Linked DNA regions of Oryctolagus cuniculus. The protein of the gene in region 1 binds, or shares a complex with, the protein of each later gene. Links are inferred from orthologs where the notes say so. Each region holds a gene or a part of one and is shown in the gene's direction. Other genes may lie near its edges. The genes, in order: ATP8B1, TMEM30A and TMEM30B.

Region 1 (5,571 bases):
CTGCTTTCCCGGGCCATAGCCGAGAGCTGGACAGGAAGTGGAGCAGCCAGGTCTCAAACCGGTGCCCATATGGGATGCTGGCGCTTCAGGCCAGGGCGTTAACCCACTGCGTCACAGCGCAGGCCCCCAGGTTGATGAAATCTTACCTATACATGCACTCTGAGAACCACCACCCAGATCAACATGTAGAACATTCATAGACCTCCCCCGCCCCATGCCACCCCAGAAGCTTCCTTCAGCCCCTATCCTACCCCACAGGAGTCTTTTCTGCTTTCTCCAAGCCTGTGTCACCTTGGAGGACACAATTTGCTTCCTTGGTTCACTGATGCACACAACCAACTAGAACAGTGCCTGATACACAGTGGGTACTCCCTGAATATTTACTGAGTGAATACATCTTTGAATCAATACTCATTGTGCCCAGTGTCCACTCTGCCCCTTCCAAGTGGCCTGCAATAGAAGAAGAGAAACTTTGGTGTCTGCATAGGGTTGTTGAATGCAGCCATTGGAACAGTATTCATCAGATCTGGGTACGGTGTGCCCTGGTGCCATCTTTTCTATGCAGCATTTCCTTGTACAGATTGATCCTTTGGGATCTGCAAGAAGCGGGGGATCCCTCCTGGACCCTGGAGTCCTCTCTAGATCACTAGGTTTGCTACCATTTCTCCTGATAGGGGCTGAGCCCTCCTAACTGATTTTTCTCCTTTCGACTCTGCAATCCCGATCAAGCTGTCACCCTCAGGACCTTGGCTGGTCCTGCATGCTTCTCTCTGCAAATGAGCTGCAGGTTCTGGTCCCTCTGTGCTCTGACCGCTTTTCTCCAAGATGTCCTTTGAATCTCGACCATTTCTGGCGACCTCTTCTGTTGTGGTACTTGCCTCCCAGGCCAGACCTCTGTCTTCTCTCTTCTCTTCTTCCAACCATCCTAATACCTTCCCCAAAACACATCCTTGATCATGTCACTGCTGTGTTCAGAAACGTTCAGTGGTTTGCAAGAACTACCAAGAGAAGTCCAAACTCCCAAGCCTTGCATTCGAGGGCTCTAGCCTCTTAATGCCCTGCGGGAGGCTGGTTTACTGACCACGTTGTCACTAAGCAGGCCCTAGGTTTCCGTGTCTCAGAGGCTTTGCTCTGTCACTAGTTCAGAAGATAACGCTAGAGGGAACCATTGGCGACCATCTAGTCCGCTCTCATGTTTACAGAGGAGGCAACTGAGGCCCGTGCAGATTAAATGCCTGGTCTGCACCACGAAGGTGCCTAAAGAATTGGAAATCCGGGGTACCTGGGATTGGCAGTATCAGTGGGGTTTTTGATAGGCTTGAAGATCGAATCACAAGGCCCCTCTTTGAATTTCTCCTCGAGACAACTCCGATCCTGTAGATGGGGCATCATCCGTCCTCAGCCCCTGCGCAGACTCCTGCATGATGACTCTGCTCTGATCTGCAGGTCGTCGGGCACTTGTCCAGGAGTTCTATGTCCCCTGTTGCATTGTTAGCAAACATGTAGGCCTTTGACTTTGCTCCATTCCGATCCCTGTGACTTGTCCACAACAGGTGAGCCAGAAACGCGCAAAATGTTCAACAGCAGCGCATAGTTCACATGTGGCCCTGGAAGTCCTTTTCTCCCTAAAGCTATAAACACGCACGAGTTTGGGCTCCGCAGAGGATAAAAGTTTCTCGAAGTCTCTGGGTGCTGTTTTTCTCCCTACCCCCCGCGCGGGCAACCACGGCTCGCCTTCTGTGACTGGTCCCGAAACGTGACTTGGCACCGAGAGCGCACAGCTCTCCTTACCAAGGGAGCTCAGGTCCCGGGCGCGCCACGACCCCGCCAGCTTTCCGGCCAGGAGCTGTCTCCGACCCCAGGCTGCGGCCAACCCGGCAGAGGGCGGTGGGAAAGTGACGCCGGGCTGGTGGGGCGGGGTGAAGAGGCAGAGCCGCCGCAGCTGCCTGGTCGCCGGCTGGGCGAGGAGAGACCAGCGCTCGGGACACAGCGCGGGGTGCGCACCTGCCGCCGGGGCGCACCGAGGGCGGGAGGCCGGTCCCGGACCACAGAGGCGGGCCCGCCCTGGGGCTCGCCGTCCAGCCCTTCTCCGCCCCGGGGAGGGACCGGGGGAGGGCAGACGTCCGGGCCCGCCCCCAGCCCCAACCCCTGCCCCATCCACAGCCCCAGCCGCGCTTGGCGGCCGCGGCTGCCGGAGGGAGATGAGAGGCACCTCCCTGTAGCTGAGAAACCAGTTTGGCCGGTCCCGCGGAGCGGAGGGAAAAGGGCGGCCGCAGAGGAAGGGCGCGCGGACGCGAGGCGGGGAAGGCGGGGAGCCATTGGCGTACCGCGGGAGCCGGAGGAGCGGCCGCCAACTGGACACGCTGCCCGGGGCCCCCGGCCAGCCCCCGTGCGCCATGAGGCGCTAGCGCCGCGGCCAACGCTGGGGCCCGGCGGCAGGGAGGCGGCGGAGACGACCAGGTGCACAGCGAGCGCTCGGAGCAGGGCGCACCCGGCAGATGCCCCAGCCGGGGCCCAGCGAACGCCAGGTAAGGAGAGACGCGGCGTCGCGACCCCCAGAAACCTCCACCCCGATAGTCGGGCAGGGTCCAGTGGCCCCCGGACCAGTGGACTCCGGGGATCCGGAGGCAGCAGCTATCCGCGCGCTCCGCCTGCGGAGCCCCCACGGGTGGGATTGGAGTGGGGGTGCCCGGAACCTGCGCCGCTTCGGGGTCGGGAAGTCTCGGATGGCCGGGGCAGCGCTGTTGTGAGTTCGGTGGGAGTATCACCTGCCGGGAGGCGGGACCTCGCGGGAGGTGTTTGCGTGCTTGGTTGGTCTGCTACACGCTTGGCCGGGGTTAAGCCCGGAGGGGCCAAGCTGGGCTGGCGGTTCCCCTGGTCGGGGGGCGGGAGTGCTGCTGGCTTCCTTGCGGCGGCCACTGCCCCTCTGGAAGTCCTCTATGGCCGGGCTCTGCTGGGCCCCCCATTGGCAGCCTGTGCCAACGTGCCGGTAAAAGTCCTTACAGCCGCAGCACCTGACCACGGCCGCACCTGCGAGTAGGGATGGGGTGGGATCGGCCGTCCCCACCGCAGAGCCAGGCGCCGCCAGACACCCGGGCGCTTTAACCCAGGATGCGTGCGGGGAAGCTGGACTGTAGCTCCTGGCCGTCGCTCCCAACGCAGGCCGTCTCCCTCCCTGCCCGGGTTGATGTCCGTCGCTGTCACCTCGCCGTGAGCCTGCTGAGGACAATTTGCTGGGAGGAGGAAGGCTTTAACCCCCACTTCCCCACTTTGCTTCCTTCCCTAAAGCGAAAGGAAAGCCTGGAGCGTCCGCCCAGCTTCTCCGCGGGGGCCCCAGGGCCAGCACCGCTGTCAGTGGGGAGGACGGAGAGCAGCACGCGGCGGCTGGGGCTGGCTCGCAAAAGGACAGGGGACCGAGTCACATATGCTCCTGGGGAGCCCCCCACTCCCCAGCGGTGGTTTCCCTCGGCCTGCGTTCGCCGGCCGAGTCGGGGTCCAAGCGTTTGCTCCCACCTTCCTGGTTGCCTTGCCTTCGAAATTCTACACCCTGCTCACCACCCCCCACCCCCCACCCCAATCTCTGGCGAAGCGAGCCTGGCCACGCTAGTGAAATGCGTGAAGACCACCGGACACAGCATAGGTCCCTGACCAAGGGTCTCGCTTTGGGGAAGGAAACTAAAAATGATGCGTCCTCATAGTAGCTAATCCCAAGGCGGAGGGTTCTGATTCTGCATGGGTTAGGGAGTACTTGTGTGTGTGCCCATTGTGGCAGGCCTGATGAAGCGCTGCTTAAACACACAGACCGGGCGGAGATGAGGACCGCGTCCCAGGTGTTTGCTTTCCGGGGAGAAGTCTCGCCTGCCTGCAGCCTCTGACAGCTTTCTCCCCTGGTGGAGCTCCTTTAGTTTTAATTTTGAGTAGGAAAGCTTTCTCCTGCCTCGTTCATTTGTCGTTTTCCCCAAAGCACTTGGCCACGCTTCAGGAATTCTGAGGGATTCCTGGTATCAGTGATTAAGATACAAACCAGACTCAGGCGGCTCCTTCCTACCTGGTTCCCAGATGCCACCTGCGGGCATCCACCTGCGGCTCCTTTCCAGCTTGCCGTGTGGGTTTGGAGGATGGGAAAAGACGCACGCTGTGTGCCCTTCCCATGACTGCGGCAGGGGGAGCGGTGTGTGTTTTAAATCAGGGTTTTGAAATCATGACTTGGAGAAGCAAGTGGCTTTACAGAAAGAAGTGGTCCAGGGCAAGGCATGTTCAGGCCAGGTTGGGTGGATGTGGGACGTGGTTCTCAGTGTGGGTGTCAGCCCTGATGGAGCCCACCACCTGGCCTGCACGCTGTGTGGGGGGTTTCTTTGCTTTCTTCCATCCCTCCAGCCATTCTGCCTGCTCTTTCTCCTCCTCTTGAAGCCAGGAATAGTGAGAAACATTGGGGCGTGATTCCCACCATTTTCAGTTCTTTTTCTTACTGATTGAATCACCCTAGATGAATTCTCTTTTTTTTTTTTTTGTATGATTTATTCATTTATTTGAAAGGCAGAGTTACAGAGCGGCAGAGACAGAGAGAGAGAGGTCTTCTATCTGCTGGTTCACTTCCCAAATGGCGGCAACAGCCAGAGCTGGGCCGATCTGAAGCCAGGAGCTTCTTCCAGGTCTCCCACGTAAGTGTGGGGGCCCAAGCACTTGGGCCATCTTCCACTGCTGTTCCAGGCCGTAGCAGAGAGCTGGATGGGAAGTGGCACAGCTGAGTCTTGAACCTGTGCCCATATTGGATGCTGGCACAGCAGGCGGCAGCTTTACCTACTACGCCACAGCGCCTGCCCCACCCTGGATGAATTTTTAAAATGTCTGAGGAAGTCTCAGTTTGCTCGTTTGGGGGGACAGAAAGCTATCCTCAACCTCTTTGGATTGTTGAGAGAATTAAGTAAGAACGTCTATGTGTCCCTTCTCTGTAGTAGGTGTTTGAGTGTTGATTTCCTATTTTCTTTCCTAGGCTATTTTTGAAAGTAGTGCGATGTCCAGGTGTCTGGTATAATTTTCATATTCCATTGCCTCCCGAGTCTGAATTCTGCCTGAGTTTGTTGTAAGCCGCACTGGACAGGTTTTAATTTACCTGCTTTCCTTGGCTCCCTAGTTTCAACCATTGCCGATGAAAGCTGTGTGCTTGTGAATGGACAGCGACTTGCTTTTCAAGTACCAGAGCTAGTTTTATTGGGTCCATTCGTGTCCTGTTTCTCCAGAGAGAGGCACCTTTACAGTTAGTTTCTCAAGCACTTCGTTTTGGCATTTACTTCTAGATTGGTCTCCCGTGAAGTTTTTCTTTGTGGTGTTTTTGGGTGACTTGTGACTTTGCAGATCTGTTTGAGTGTTACCACCCAGTTGGATTACTTGTGTTCATGCCTGTAGGCCTTGTGTTACTTATTAAATGGAAATTAATTTGCTGCCAGAAGGGTTTTAATAACACAAAAAAGATGATAACTTATCTTCTTCACTCTGTTAAACAAGTTACTCCTGAATCCCCACTTCTGTGCGCAGATAAAAATAATACCCAATGTAAGACCTTTTGAGATC
Region 2 (5,325 bases), on another chromosome or scaffold:
GCAATTTTTAATTTCCCTTTCCCTGATTTAGCCTCCAAAAGGCATTAACTGCTGACATAGCCATAATAAATAAATAAATAAAGTTTGGGTGGTTCAGATGATGTGACTTAATCTCTGGATTTCACAAATGTCAGTATAATGTGGACTGTGTGTAACTTTAAAAAATTTTACAAATAATATAGCTTATTGTATGAATTTTGGAAAGTACAGAAAAATGCAAAGCAACAGAGAAAAAAATTTCTCCATAGAGACAAAGTCACTATTTTCAGTCAAAAGTGAAAGTCATTAATAACTTTTTAGTTTGGCTATTTGTACGGTTCCTATGCTTGGCATCCCGGTTTAGTCACTTTTGAGTATTTCTTTGAATCAGTAAAAACTTGGCAGTTTAAAAATATCTACATGGTAGTATTCCATTTTACTGTAATACTATAGGAGTATGTTCTGGTCTTTATCAACAGTAAAACAAAAATAAAACTTCCATAGTTAACTACAAAACACTACTAAATTAACATGCAAAGGAACACACAAAAAAAGGGAAAAGTAACTTGGAACCAAATTTGGAGGCAAAATAAAAATCACGGAGGTAAGATAACATGATTATTCAAGTCACATTGACTTTTGACAGGCAGAGTTAGACAGTGAGAGAGACAGAGAGAAAGGTCCTCCTTCCGTTTGTTCACCCCGCAAATGGCCGCTACGACCGGCGCATGGCGCTGATCTGAAGCCAGGAGCCAGGTGCTTCCTCCTGGTCTCCCATGCGGGTGGAGGGCCCAAGGACCTGGGCCACCCTTCACTGCACTCCCAGGCCACAGCAGAGAGCTGGCCTGGAAGAGGGGCAACCGGGACAGAATCCGGTGCCCTGACCGGGACTAGAACCCGGTGTGCCAGCGCTGCAGGTGGAGGATTAGCCTAGTGAGCCATGGCGCTGGCCATCAAACAATTGTAATCTGAAAGGCAGATGGGACGAGGGCTGTGGTGCAGTGGGTTAAAACCATGTTTGCAGCGTTGGCATCCCATATGGGTCAGGTTGGAGTTCAGGATGCTCCACTTCCAACCCAGTTCCCTGCTACATGAGCCTATGAAAGCAGCAGAAGATGGCCCAAGTGCTTGGGTCCCTGTATCCATGTGGGAGACCTGGATGAAGCTCCTGGCTTCAGCCTGGACCTACCCTGGTGGTTGGGGCCATTTTGAAGATCTGTCTCGCCTTCTATTTGTCTCTTTCAAATAAGTAAGTCTCAAGAAAATTTTTTTGAAAGTCAGAGCAACACAGAGACGGGGGTGGGGGTGAGCAATTGACTCCATCTGCTGGTTTACTTCTCAAATGCCCACAACACTTGGTTCTGTGCCAGACTGAAGAGAGGAGCCTGACACTCACTCTCTGGGTCTCCCACATGGATGGCAAAGGCCAAGTACTGGGCCATCATCTGCTGCCTCTCAGGCGCATCTGCAGGGAGCTGGATCCAAAGCACAGCAACAGGGACTCCAACTCAGGCGGCTTAACCCGCTAGGCCACAAGGTCATCGCGCGTTATTCATTCTTGAAGAAAAAAGAGTAATGCTTTACGCATCTCAAAGTTACACGTGTACCCCCCCCGGGGGGGGGGACTTATTTTAACTAAAGAAGTTTTATATAACCGGAGTAAATACTGCCAAATTCCACCAGGCTCAAAATCCTTCTAAAAGGCATTAAGGTGAAAAGAAAACCCTGTCCCGCGCTGAAACCACCAGAAAGAAGTCTTGGTCAGCCGCTCCAGGGGTGCCGGCGGCTCACGCCAACCCAGTAGTTGTCGCCATGATAACCGGAGGTGTGAGCAAACAGAAGCGTCGGCGAGTGGGCGGAAACGCACCTATGGCGCAGGCGCCGAGACCCCGTCGCCCCCGGGCGGCGCATGCGTCCACGTAACCTCGCGCTCTGGGGGTTGAGCCCCTCACTTTGTCGTCACAGGGCAGATGATCAGGGTGCGTCCGCCTTTTCCCTCCCCCTTCTATCGTCCTCCCCTTTCCCCTCCCCTTGTCCCTCACTCTTCTCCCTCCTTCCTCTCTCCCTCCCTCTGGTGTCTTCAGCCGTCCCTCGCTTCCGGTCAGCGGCTGTCTGCGGAAGAGTGTCCCGCCTCTTCCGCCTGTGCGGCGGCGGCGGTGGCGGCGGCGCCTGCGCGTCTCCTGTCAGGGTCAGCAGGCGGGTCCCCTGGACTGTCCACCTGCGCGTCGCGGATCCGCGCCGCGGGGCTCGATGGCGATGAACTATAACGCGAAGGATGAAGTGGACGGTGGGCCCCCGTGTCCCCCTGGGGGCACCGCTAAGACCCGGAGACCGGATAACACGGCCTTCAAACAGCAACGGCTGCCCGCTTGGCAGCCCATCCTGACGGCTGGCACGGTGCTTCCTACCTTCTTCATCATCGGCCTCATCTTCATCCCCATTGGCATCGGCATTTTCGTCACCTCCAACAACATCCGCGAGATCGAGGTGAGGGGAGGGCGCGGCGGTGGGAGCTAGCTTTGCTGGGGACCCGGGGCTGCGGCGCCCGCGCCCCTCTCCCCCGGCTCGCTGGGGTTGACAGGCGGGCCCGCCCTCCCGCTCACCTTTCCTCTGCTCAGTTTCTTCTTTCTGGTTCTGCGGCTTTCCTGAATTTGCACTTTTGTCCTACTTCTACCTACGGTTTCCACGGTCAGAGACGGAATGAATGTTTAATGCCGAAGGTGGGTCGGGTTGAAGAACGCTTCTTTCCTGGGCAGTGTGTGTGTTTCGGTGGGGATCCAGGACGTGGTTCTGAGACGTGAAAAGGTGGAGAAAAAAGAAGCTCCCTCTAGATGTAATTCCGAGGGAACTGACAGGGTCAGTGTGTCATTACCTGTGCGAGGGTCATGCCGGGATGCTGCGATTGTTGCTGGGTGAAGGACCGAGTCATAGAGGTGCTAATGCTTCTTATGTAAAGTGGTTAAGTCATGTATTACCAGTATTAGGACACATGACCAGTGTGCTCAGGGCTTTCGTTGTGAACTAATTAGATGTTTTTTAGCTGTAGGATATGATACAAGTAAAAACGTACAACTTCAGTTCTGCTTTTACTTTTAGGCTGAGTTTCTTGGTAATTATGCCCTACATTCACCCTAGGGTTCCCCCACCACCACCACACTCACTCAACCCCAGTATATCTTAAACTTACACAGGGAATGCATTGTAAACTGTCTACCAAAAATTATATTCATTAATTTCACTGCACATTTTTACTTATTTTACTTATGTAAGACCACAGAAGAACTTGTGTTGTGGAAGCTTTCAGACCTTAAAGAGTCACAATCTCCTAATCTTTATCCACCTGCAATGACAAAGATAGGTTGATAGAGTGTAAATACTGTGTAATGTACAGTGTTAAACATCAGTTAATCCTTTTTTCTTGCTCAGGGTGTTTTTATCTGTTTGAGAAGTCTGGAACTAGAAGCAACATTTTTGGTTTCTTATGCTCTCTCTTTCACACAAATATATGCTCACTTTTTAAAAATCTCTTTATGTATTTGATTTAATGATTACTTTAGGAGTAATTTTATTTTTGCTACTGAATTAGGAATAGAAGTGCTTATTTTCAACTTTACTGTGTTATTTCCAAAACCCAATTGATATACTTTTTAATTGTATGGGTATATAGTACTAAGAACAGTAATAAGAATAGTACCTATGGTATAGCTAGTTTTACAATCTTTTACCAAAAATTAATTTTCAACTTAATAATTAGGGAAAGTGTCACAGTATATTTTTTCAGTGTGTATTTTTAATTTATCATTAAAAAAAGATTTGAGAGGCAGAGTGACAGAGACTGAGGAGAAACAGGTAGAGGGGAGAAACAGGTAGAGGGGAAGAGATGTCGGTAGATATTTTTGATCACCTTGTTCATTCCCGGGTGCCACAGGAACTCCAGCCAGGTCTCCCACATACGTGGAATGAACCCAAGTACTTACAGATGCTGCCTCCCAGGTTGAGCAATAGCAGGAAACTCTGATGTGGGTTGGGGGTATCTCAAGTGGTGGCTGAACCAGTTGCACAATTCCTGCTCCAATCCTTTTTACCTCCTGAATAGTACCTCTTGCAAATATAGTACCTCTTGTCTTCCCAATCAAATAATATTAGACTTTGAGCAAAGTGGTATAATGCAAGGACTGTGGGCTCCAGCTGGGGCCAAGGCAGAGGTGTATTTAAATTCCAACTCAGCTACTAACTAGCTTAGTTTCTTGAAAAACTTAGTGTTTCGGAGCCTTGGTTTCCTCATCTATAAAATAAATAGAATAATATGTATCCCCTAAGATATGAAAACTAGAAGCAATTTAGAAAAAATGTCTGGCAATAAATTATGATGATCTAAGTTAATCATGAGATTAGAAATAGAATCAGAAAGGTTTAGATTTTGCAGTAGACTTATTAAAACTATTGCAGAATTGAGACAGAATCTGGCTTTAAGCCTTCACCCAGCACTAGGAGGCTTACTGCAATTTTAGTAAAATAGAAAATATTTAACTTTAGAAATTTAAATCATCTTATTTAAACATAAGATGGAAGAAGTAGCAGTACTTTAGAATTGTATATTAGTATTTACTAAATTATCAGAATTCAAGTGCTCTTAATATTTGCTGTGAAAATAAACATTTATGTTTAAAATTTTTGGGTTCTGAAATAAGATTCTTCAAATTAAGTAGTGGGTGAAATGGAAATTTCTTAAATAGTTCTCATATACAATTCTGATTGCAAGTTACCTGAAGGATTAGACTGCAGCTTTATGTGGTTAAAGGGCACTGAACTTAAGGGTCAGGGCATTAGAATTAAAATTCTAGCTCTGTCACTCTGTAGACTATGATCTTAGGCATGTTTTTGAGCCTGAGTTTCCTCATCTGTAAAATAAGTAGAATAATGCATGTTTCCTAAGATATGAGAACTAGAAGCAATTCTGGTTAAGGGGTCTGGTATATATATATAGAGTTTCTCCTTTGCTTGAAGAACCAAAAGATTCAGAATAGATAATCTCTAAATGCTATCAAACTCTAAAATTCTATGACTTCCAACTTAAATGTGGTGTAAAAAATGCTGCGTATTCATATTGAATTGCCTTTGGAACCACAGGAAATGACTACCAGGAATAATTGGGAGTTTTGTGTCAACACTGAAATACAGTTTTGCACATAGAATCCATATATATATGTGTGTGTGTGTGTGTGTGTGTGTGTATGTGTATTTTAAACTTGGATTTTATATGTGTAGAGAAGTATTTTTGAATTGGGTCTGGAGTTAATAGGAAAACCTAGGAAACTTTCCCAAGATAACACATGCTTGTTTCCA
Region 3 (5,340 bases), on another chromosome or scaffold:
AATGGCTGCCATAGCCGGCACTGCGCCAACCTGAAGCCAGGAGCCGGGTACTTCCTACCGGTCTCCCATGCGGGTGCAGGGTCCAAGCACTTGTGCCATCCTCCACTGCCCTCCCGGGGCCACAGCAGAGAGCTGGACTGGAAGAGGAGCAACTGGGACCAGAACCCGGTGCCCATAGGGGATGCCAGCGCCACAGGTGGAGGATTAACCAAGTGAGCCATGGCGCCGGCCCCTCCATGGGTTTTGAAGGCAATGCATGTGGTACCTTACGCTAGATGCTGAAGTGTAACAGAGAAGACATTTAAATCACTTGCATTTTATGAGCTGGAAGAGGCAAGAACACCTCAATACCTACTGAGGATTTAACACAAATGAAATGGTCCCCAAGGTACACTCTCGTGTATAAGAGCACTTCAAGGCATTTGTAGAAAATAGAAATAAAAGTTTATTTTGAGAGCCAATGTTATGACATAGCAGGTTAAGCCACCACCTGCAACACGGGCATCCCATGTGGGCTCTGGTTCATGTCCCAGCTGCTCCTCTTCTGATCCAGCTTCCTGTTAATGTGCCTGGGAAAAGCAGCAGAAGATGGCCCAAGTGTTTAGGCTCCTGAACCAGTGTGAGAGACCCGGATGAAACTCCTGGCTTCGGCCTGGCCCAGACCCATCTGTTTGGGCCATCTGGGGAGTGAACCAGCAGATGGAAGACCTCTCTTTCTCTATCTCTCCCTCTCTCACTGTAAATTCTTCCTCTCAAATAAATAAATAAATCTTTTTAAAAAGTTGATGGAAAACGCAGACTACGAAAAAGCTATGCATGGGTTTCAAAATTTTCTTTTACTAAAATAAACTTATCTTTCAATTCTGTTTATTTCCGAACTTCATGAGATAACCTCAAAGCTAGAACAAAAGCCAGCATCTCCCTCAACGGGCAGACTAATTTGAGTTCTTTATAAGCCTTTGTGGTCCGCTATTCCAAACAAATTCCCTTACAGACAGCAACAGTTTCCAGGAACCCTGGATTGGGCCTTTCTCCAGCAAGGCAAAGACCCTGAAAAAAAAAAAAAAGAAAAGAAAAAAAATCCCCTGTAGTTCACCCCATTTTTTCCCTGCCTGGCGTCTCTACCAGCTAATGAGACATTTAAATGCTGTGGGTCTCTCCAGTTTTTTATTCTCCCTCCCCCTCCCTCTCTCCTTCTCCCTCTAAGGGTCATTTTATTTTTAGAGAACTTTTCACCTTTCTTAGCTGTAAGACTGGGGCATCCGCCCAGAAAACCATTTTCCATTATTAAAAATAAATACACCAGGAGTTCGGACGCAGGTGTTGAATTCGAAATGGTGTCATTTTCTGTGCATTTCAGTGAAAGCGGACTGAAACGAAATCCAGCAGTGAATCTACAAAGACAAGCAGGTCTCAACTCACCTGCGTCCGAAGCGACAGAGAATGCAGTAACCGCGCGAACCCTTCAAGCCCCCGGGACCCACGGGGCACGCTCCCGGGGACGCTTCCCGCTGGTAGGCTGCAGCGCCGGAGCTGCAGGTGCGGCTGGATCCGGGCCCTCGAGTCTCTGGGAAGGCGGAAGGGTTAGGGGGCGGAGGGGACCTGAGCAAGGTGTGAGCCACTCGGAGACAGCCTGAGCCGCCACTCACCTGGAGGGGGAGGAGCTGGCGCCAGGAGCGGCCGGGACCGCGCGGGTCAGCCGAGCCCGCGCCCGCCGCCAGGTGAGGCCGCGACACCTGCCCGGCTCCCCTCGGAAGAGGCGGGGCGCGGCCCGGGCTCCCGCGAGGGGCGGAGCCGGCGCCGCGCACCTGGGCGGAGGCGGAACTCAGGCGTCCCGGAGCCGGCCGCAGAGCCCGGGGCTCCGACGCACCTGTGCAGGAGGCGGGGGCCCGAGGGCTCGGGGACGGCGACCCCCGGGGCGGGGCGGGGTGCGGAGGGGGACCGTCCGCCATGACGTGGAGCGCCACGGCCCGCGGCGCCCACCAGCCGGACAACACGGCGTTCACGCAGCAGCGCCTCCCCGCGTGGCAGCCGCTGCTGTCGGCCAGCATCACGCTGCCGCTCTTCTTCTGCGCCGGCCTGGCCTTCATCGGCCTGGGCCTGGGCCTCTACTACTCCTCCAACGGCATCGTGGAGCTCGAGCATGACTACACGGGCGACGCGGGCTCGAGCAACTGCTCCGTGTGCGCCGCCGAGGGCCAGGGCCGCGCGCCGCCGCCGCCCTGCTCGTGCGCCTGGTACTTCTCGCTGCACGAGCTCTTCCCGGGGCCCGTGTACCTCTACTACGAGCTGTCCAGCTTCTACCAGAACAACCGGCGCTACGGCGTGTCCCGCGACGACGCGCAGCTGAGCGGGCTGCCGAGCGCGCTGCGCCAGCCGGCCAACGAGTGCGCCCCGTACCAGCGCAGCGCCACCGGGCTGCCCATCGCGCCCTGCGGCGCCATCGCCAACAGCCTCTTCAACGACACCTTCTCGCTGTGGCACCAGCACCAGCCGGCCGGGCCCTACGTCGAGGTGCCGCTGGACCGCGCCGCCATCGCCTGGTGGACCGACTACCACGTCAAGTTCCGCAACCCGCCGCTGGTGAACGGCAGCCTGGCGCTGGCCTTCCGCGGCACGGCGCCGCCGCCCAACTGGCCCCGGCCGGTCTACGAGCTGAGCGCCGACCCCAACAACACGGGCTTCGTCAACCAGGACTTCGTGGTGTGGATGCGCACGGCGGCGCTGCCCACCTTCCGCAAGCTGTACGCGCGCATCCGCCAGGGCGACTACTCGGCGGGGCTGCCCCGCGGCGCTTACCGCGTCAACATCTCCTACAACTACCCGGTGCGCGCCTTCGGCGGCCACAAGCTGCTCATCTTCAGCAACATCTCGTGGATGGGCGGCAAGAACCCCTTCCTGGGCATCGCCTACCTTGTGGTCGGCGCCCTCTGCATCCTCGTGGGCTTCGCCATGCTGGTCGTGTACATTCGCTACCAGGACCAGACGGACGACGACGACGACGACGAGTGATGGCTGGCCCCAGGGACGCCCTCCGCCTTCCCCTGCCTCCTGGGGCGTCGAGGACGGCGTGGGAGGGCACGGGGAGGACCCCCTGTGCCTCGTGGGGGGGGGGTGCTGGGTGCACCTGCGGAGCGGAGACACAGCCTTGCCACTTCCCCACCTCCATCGCCGCCTCTCCAGCTGACGTGTTGGCAGGCTTGAAGAGTTCCAGGGACAGTAGGGTCTCGCATCCGACCGCCTCCCGCGTGGAGGGACTGAGAGACCTGGCCGTGTTTAAGTAGCTCGTGGTGGATCAGGCGGAGAGCGCTCTGGGAGCTTTGGGAAGGGTGTCGTGGTGGGTGTGGGGGTTGGGGTAGGCCAGGTCCACGCAGCCCCTGTAGAGACACGGAGAGGGGGATACTCCAGGGTACTCAGAAGAGTCCGTGGGAAAAATGACATGAAAAGATAAGGTTGTTTTGGTGCACAAGGAGTTTGAAGTCCATGCCCAGAGCGGTCTTCCAAGCGCTCATGGATTTCAAACGATGTTTTGCACTAAAGGAAGCTTACCTTTTAATTCCGTTCTCCACGAACGCTTTTGAAATCCCCTAGTACTTGCTAGAAATGTTAAGTAGATGGGGAGGCACCAGCAGCGGCCGAGACTCTGACCCTGCCAGGCTGCGCGGGGAGACCCTGGAGCAGTATTATTAGCAGGCTCCCCATGGAGGCCTCTGCTCCCTCAGACTGGGAATCCAGTCCCTGCCTGCCTAGGGCCTGAAGCAGTCTCCTGAGTTTGGTTTTTTCAGGACAGTGACGGTCATAATACTGCAGATTAGGTTTAGCAATGCCTTGACTAGAGAGAGGCCCCTGCCCCATGGTTTCTGGAGTGAATGGGGAAGAATGCGCTCTCTAGAAGTAGCTGGGATTCAGAGTTGCAGGGCAAGGAAATTCGTTGGATAGTTGAGTGCAGAAGTTAAACTTTGCAGGTACTGTGCGGAAACTTGACGCTGCTGGGCCAGTCTGTGGGGGCTCTGGGGACTGTCTGAACCTTCGAATCAGGTAACGGAGGGATCCTAGTGGGAAAGTATCAAAAGTCACATGTATTTCTTCTGACTCCTGGCTCACCCCTCTTTCTCATCTGCTTTTTTTTTTTTTTTTTAATGCCTGGAGAGAAAGAATTTCATTAATTAATACCTTCTTCCTTGGATCTGGGAAAAAAAAAAAAAACTGAAACTTTAGAATGCATGTCCTCAAATGAAACATTTGTGTCTAGTAATCCTCTTTGAATGAATACTAAGGAAAATCTTATGTGCAAGCTAGAATCTCTTAAGATTTTATTTTGGGGGGGTGTCTTTGACATGATGTTAAAAACTCTTGATTAAACTCAGTTGATTTTTTGTTGATTAAAATCAATGTGTATACAATATGTATGAAGTTATTCTGAAAAGCAATAGAATATTTTTAAGACTTCCTCTTTGTGGCAACAAAATAAGTTAAAATAACTTTAAAAAAAACTCTATGATATCATCTTCCCAGTTTATTAGCTGAAAGCTGTTATTTGGCATTTGTCAGAATTCCTTGGTGCCTGGTGTCTGTCACAGCTACTTTCTAATTACTGCTGTGTGTGTTCACTCCTTTAAGGCAGGGAAAGATCTTGAACTAAGTTTTTTTTTTTTTTTTTTTTTTTTGTAGTTGGAGAAATGTTGAGTTGTACTGAGTACTTTACATTCTTTTTGTTTTACTCTAGCTTCTTTGAAAATTACCACTGGACAACGTGTTTATCTCAGGTCTCCGTCTCAGCACTTCTGAGACAGTAGTGATTCAAGGGATCCTGTCCCCTTACTTATGGGTACACCAAAAGTACTTTCGTCATTCCAGGATGCTGGCTTCCCAACTCTGGAACGCAATACACTTTTATCATGAAATTGTGAATGATGGTTTTAGGCTGCGAAACCATCATCATGTACATAGAATGATTTTTGTTATGACTGTCTCCCTGAGCAGCTCACTAGCCCAGCCCTGCTCGGTCGGGGTGGGAGTTGGTCTCATTTCTTAAGATGTCTTGGGAGCAGCCATGTATGAGGGTCTTCGACCAGTTCATGGAAAACGCGTATTATGAAAAAACTCTGCATGGATTCAATCACTTTTCATCAAAATATGCTTTAAGTACATTTTGCAGTGAGCTTTTGGAAATATCCTCCCTTTTGCCGTAGTCACTCTAGTGCTACAAAATTGTAAATGAGTCCACCGAAATGAAATTTCTTCCAATTAAATTAGTGGACGCACTTCCAGGCTTTCTTCTTTGGGTTTTGCAAAGAGAATAAAGGTTCTGTTTGTCTTCTCTTTGTTATCTCGCTCGCT

Evidence for each region.
Region 2: the proteins of ATP8B1 (region 1) and TMEM30A are in contact, whole or in part, in a cryo-EM structure (PDB 7VGI), measured with the Homo sapiens proteins. The link is inferred for Oryctolagus cuniculus from reciprocal best matches to the Homo sapiens genes ATP8B1 and TMEM30A. Residues at the interface, in NP_001361314.1 of Homo sapiens: Thr138, His359, Trp362, Glu363, Val366, Ser369, Ser370, Trp371, Tyr372, Leu373, Tyr374, Asp375, Gly376, Arg384, Ile388, Phe418, Asn420, Trp421, Asp422, Leu423, Tyr426, Lys430, Asp431, Thr432, Pro433, His939, Trp942, Arg946, Tyr968, Phe971; in NP_060717.1 of Homo sapiens: Lys24, Thr25, Arg26, Arg27, Pro28, Asn30, Phe33, Lys34, Gln35, Gln36, Arg37, Leu38, Pro39, Ala40, Trp41, Gln42, Pro43, Ile44, Leu45, Thr46, Ala47, Val50, Phe54, Ile57, Phe61, Ile64, Ile68, Ile75, Phe119, Tyr121.
Region 3: the proteins of ATP8B1 (region 1) and TMEM30B are in contact, whole or in part, in a cryo-EM structure (PDB 7VGH), measured with the Homo sapiens proteins. The link is inferred for Oryctolagus cuniculus from reciprocal best matches to the Homo sapiens genes ATP8B1 and TMEM30B. Residues at the interface, in NP_001361314.1 of Homo sapiens: Trp362, Val366, Ser369, Ser370, Trp371, Tyr372, Leu373, Tyr374, Asp375, Gly376, Phe418, Trp421, Asp422, Leu423, Tyr426, Asp431, Pro433, His939, Trp942, Arg946, Tyr968, Phe971, Asn972, Gly973, Ser975, Ala976, Gln977, Leu1003, Gln1005, Phe1049; in NP_001017970.1 of Homo sapiens: Gly9, Ala10, His11, Gln12, Pro13, Asn15, Phe18, Thr19, Gln20, Gln21, Arg22, Leu23, Pro24, Ala25, Trp26, Gln27, Pro28, Leu30, Ser31, Ala32, Ala35, Leu38, Phe39, Phe46, Leu49, Leu53, Tyr109, Tyr111, Asn116, Phe117.

The regions. Positions count from the first base shown.
Region 1 is NC_091441.1:20,523,369-20,528,939, forward strand, and holds the start of ATP8B1 (phospholipid-transporting ATPase IC), read left to right. Parts: upstream 1-2,232; 5' UTR 2,233-2,528; intron 2,529-5,571. UniProt on the Homo sapiens protein: Catalytic component of a P4-ATPase flippase complex which catalyzes the hydrolysis of ATP coupled to the transport of phospholipids, in particular phosphatidylcholines (PC), from the outer to the inner leaflet of the plasma membrane.
Region 2 is NC_091436.1:97,193,391-97,198,715, forward strand, and holds the start of TMEM30A (cell cycle control protein 50A), read left to right. Parts: upstream 1-1,859; 5' UTR 1,860-2,229; coding exon 2,230-2,466; intron 2,467-2,582; exon of another isoform or gene 2,583-2,718; intron 2,719-5,325. UniProt on the Homo sapiens protein: Accessory component of a P4-ATPase flippase complex which catalyzes the hydrolysis of ATP coupled to the transport of aminophospholipids from the outer to the inner leaflet of various membranes and ensures the maintenance of asymmetric distribution of phospholipids.
Region 3 is NC_091451.1:9,305,606-9,310,945, forward strand, and holds TMEM30B (cell cycle control protein 50B), read left to right. Parts: upstream 1-1,794; 5' UTR 1,795-1,950; coding exon 1,951-3,012; 3' UTR 3,013-4,403; downstream 4,404-5,340. UniProt on the Homo sapiens protein: Accessory component of a P4-ATPase flippase complex which catalyzes the hydrolysis of ATP coupled to the transport of aminophospholipids from the outer to the inner leaflet of various membranes and ensures the maintenance of asymmetric distribution of phospholipids.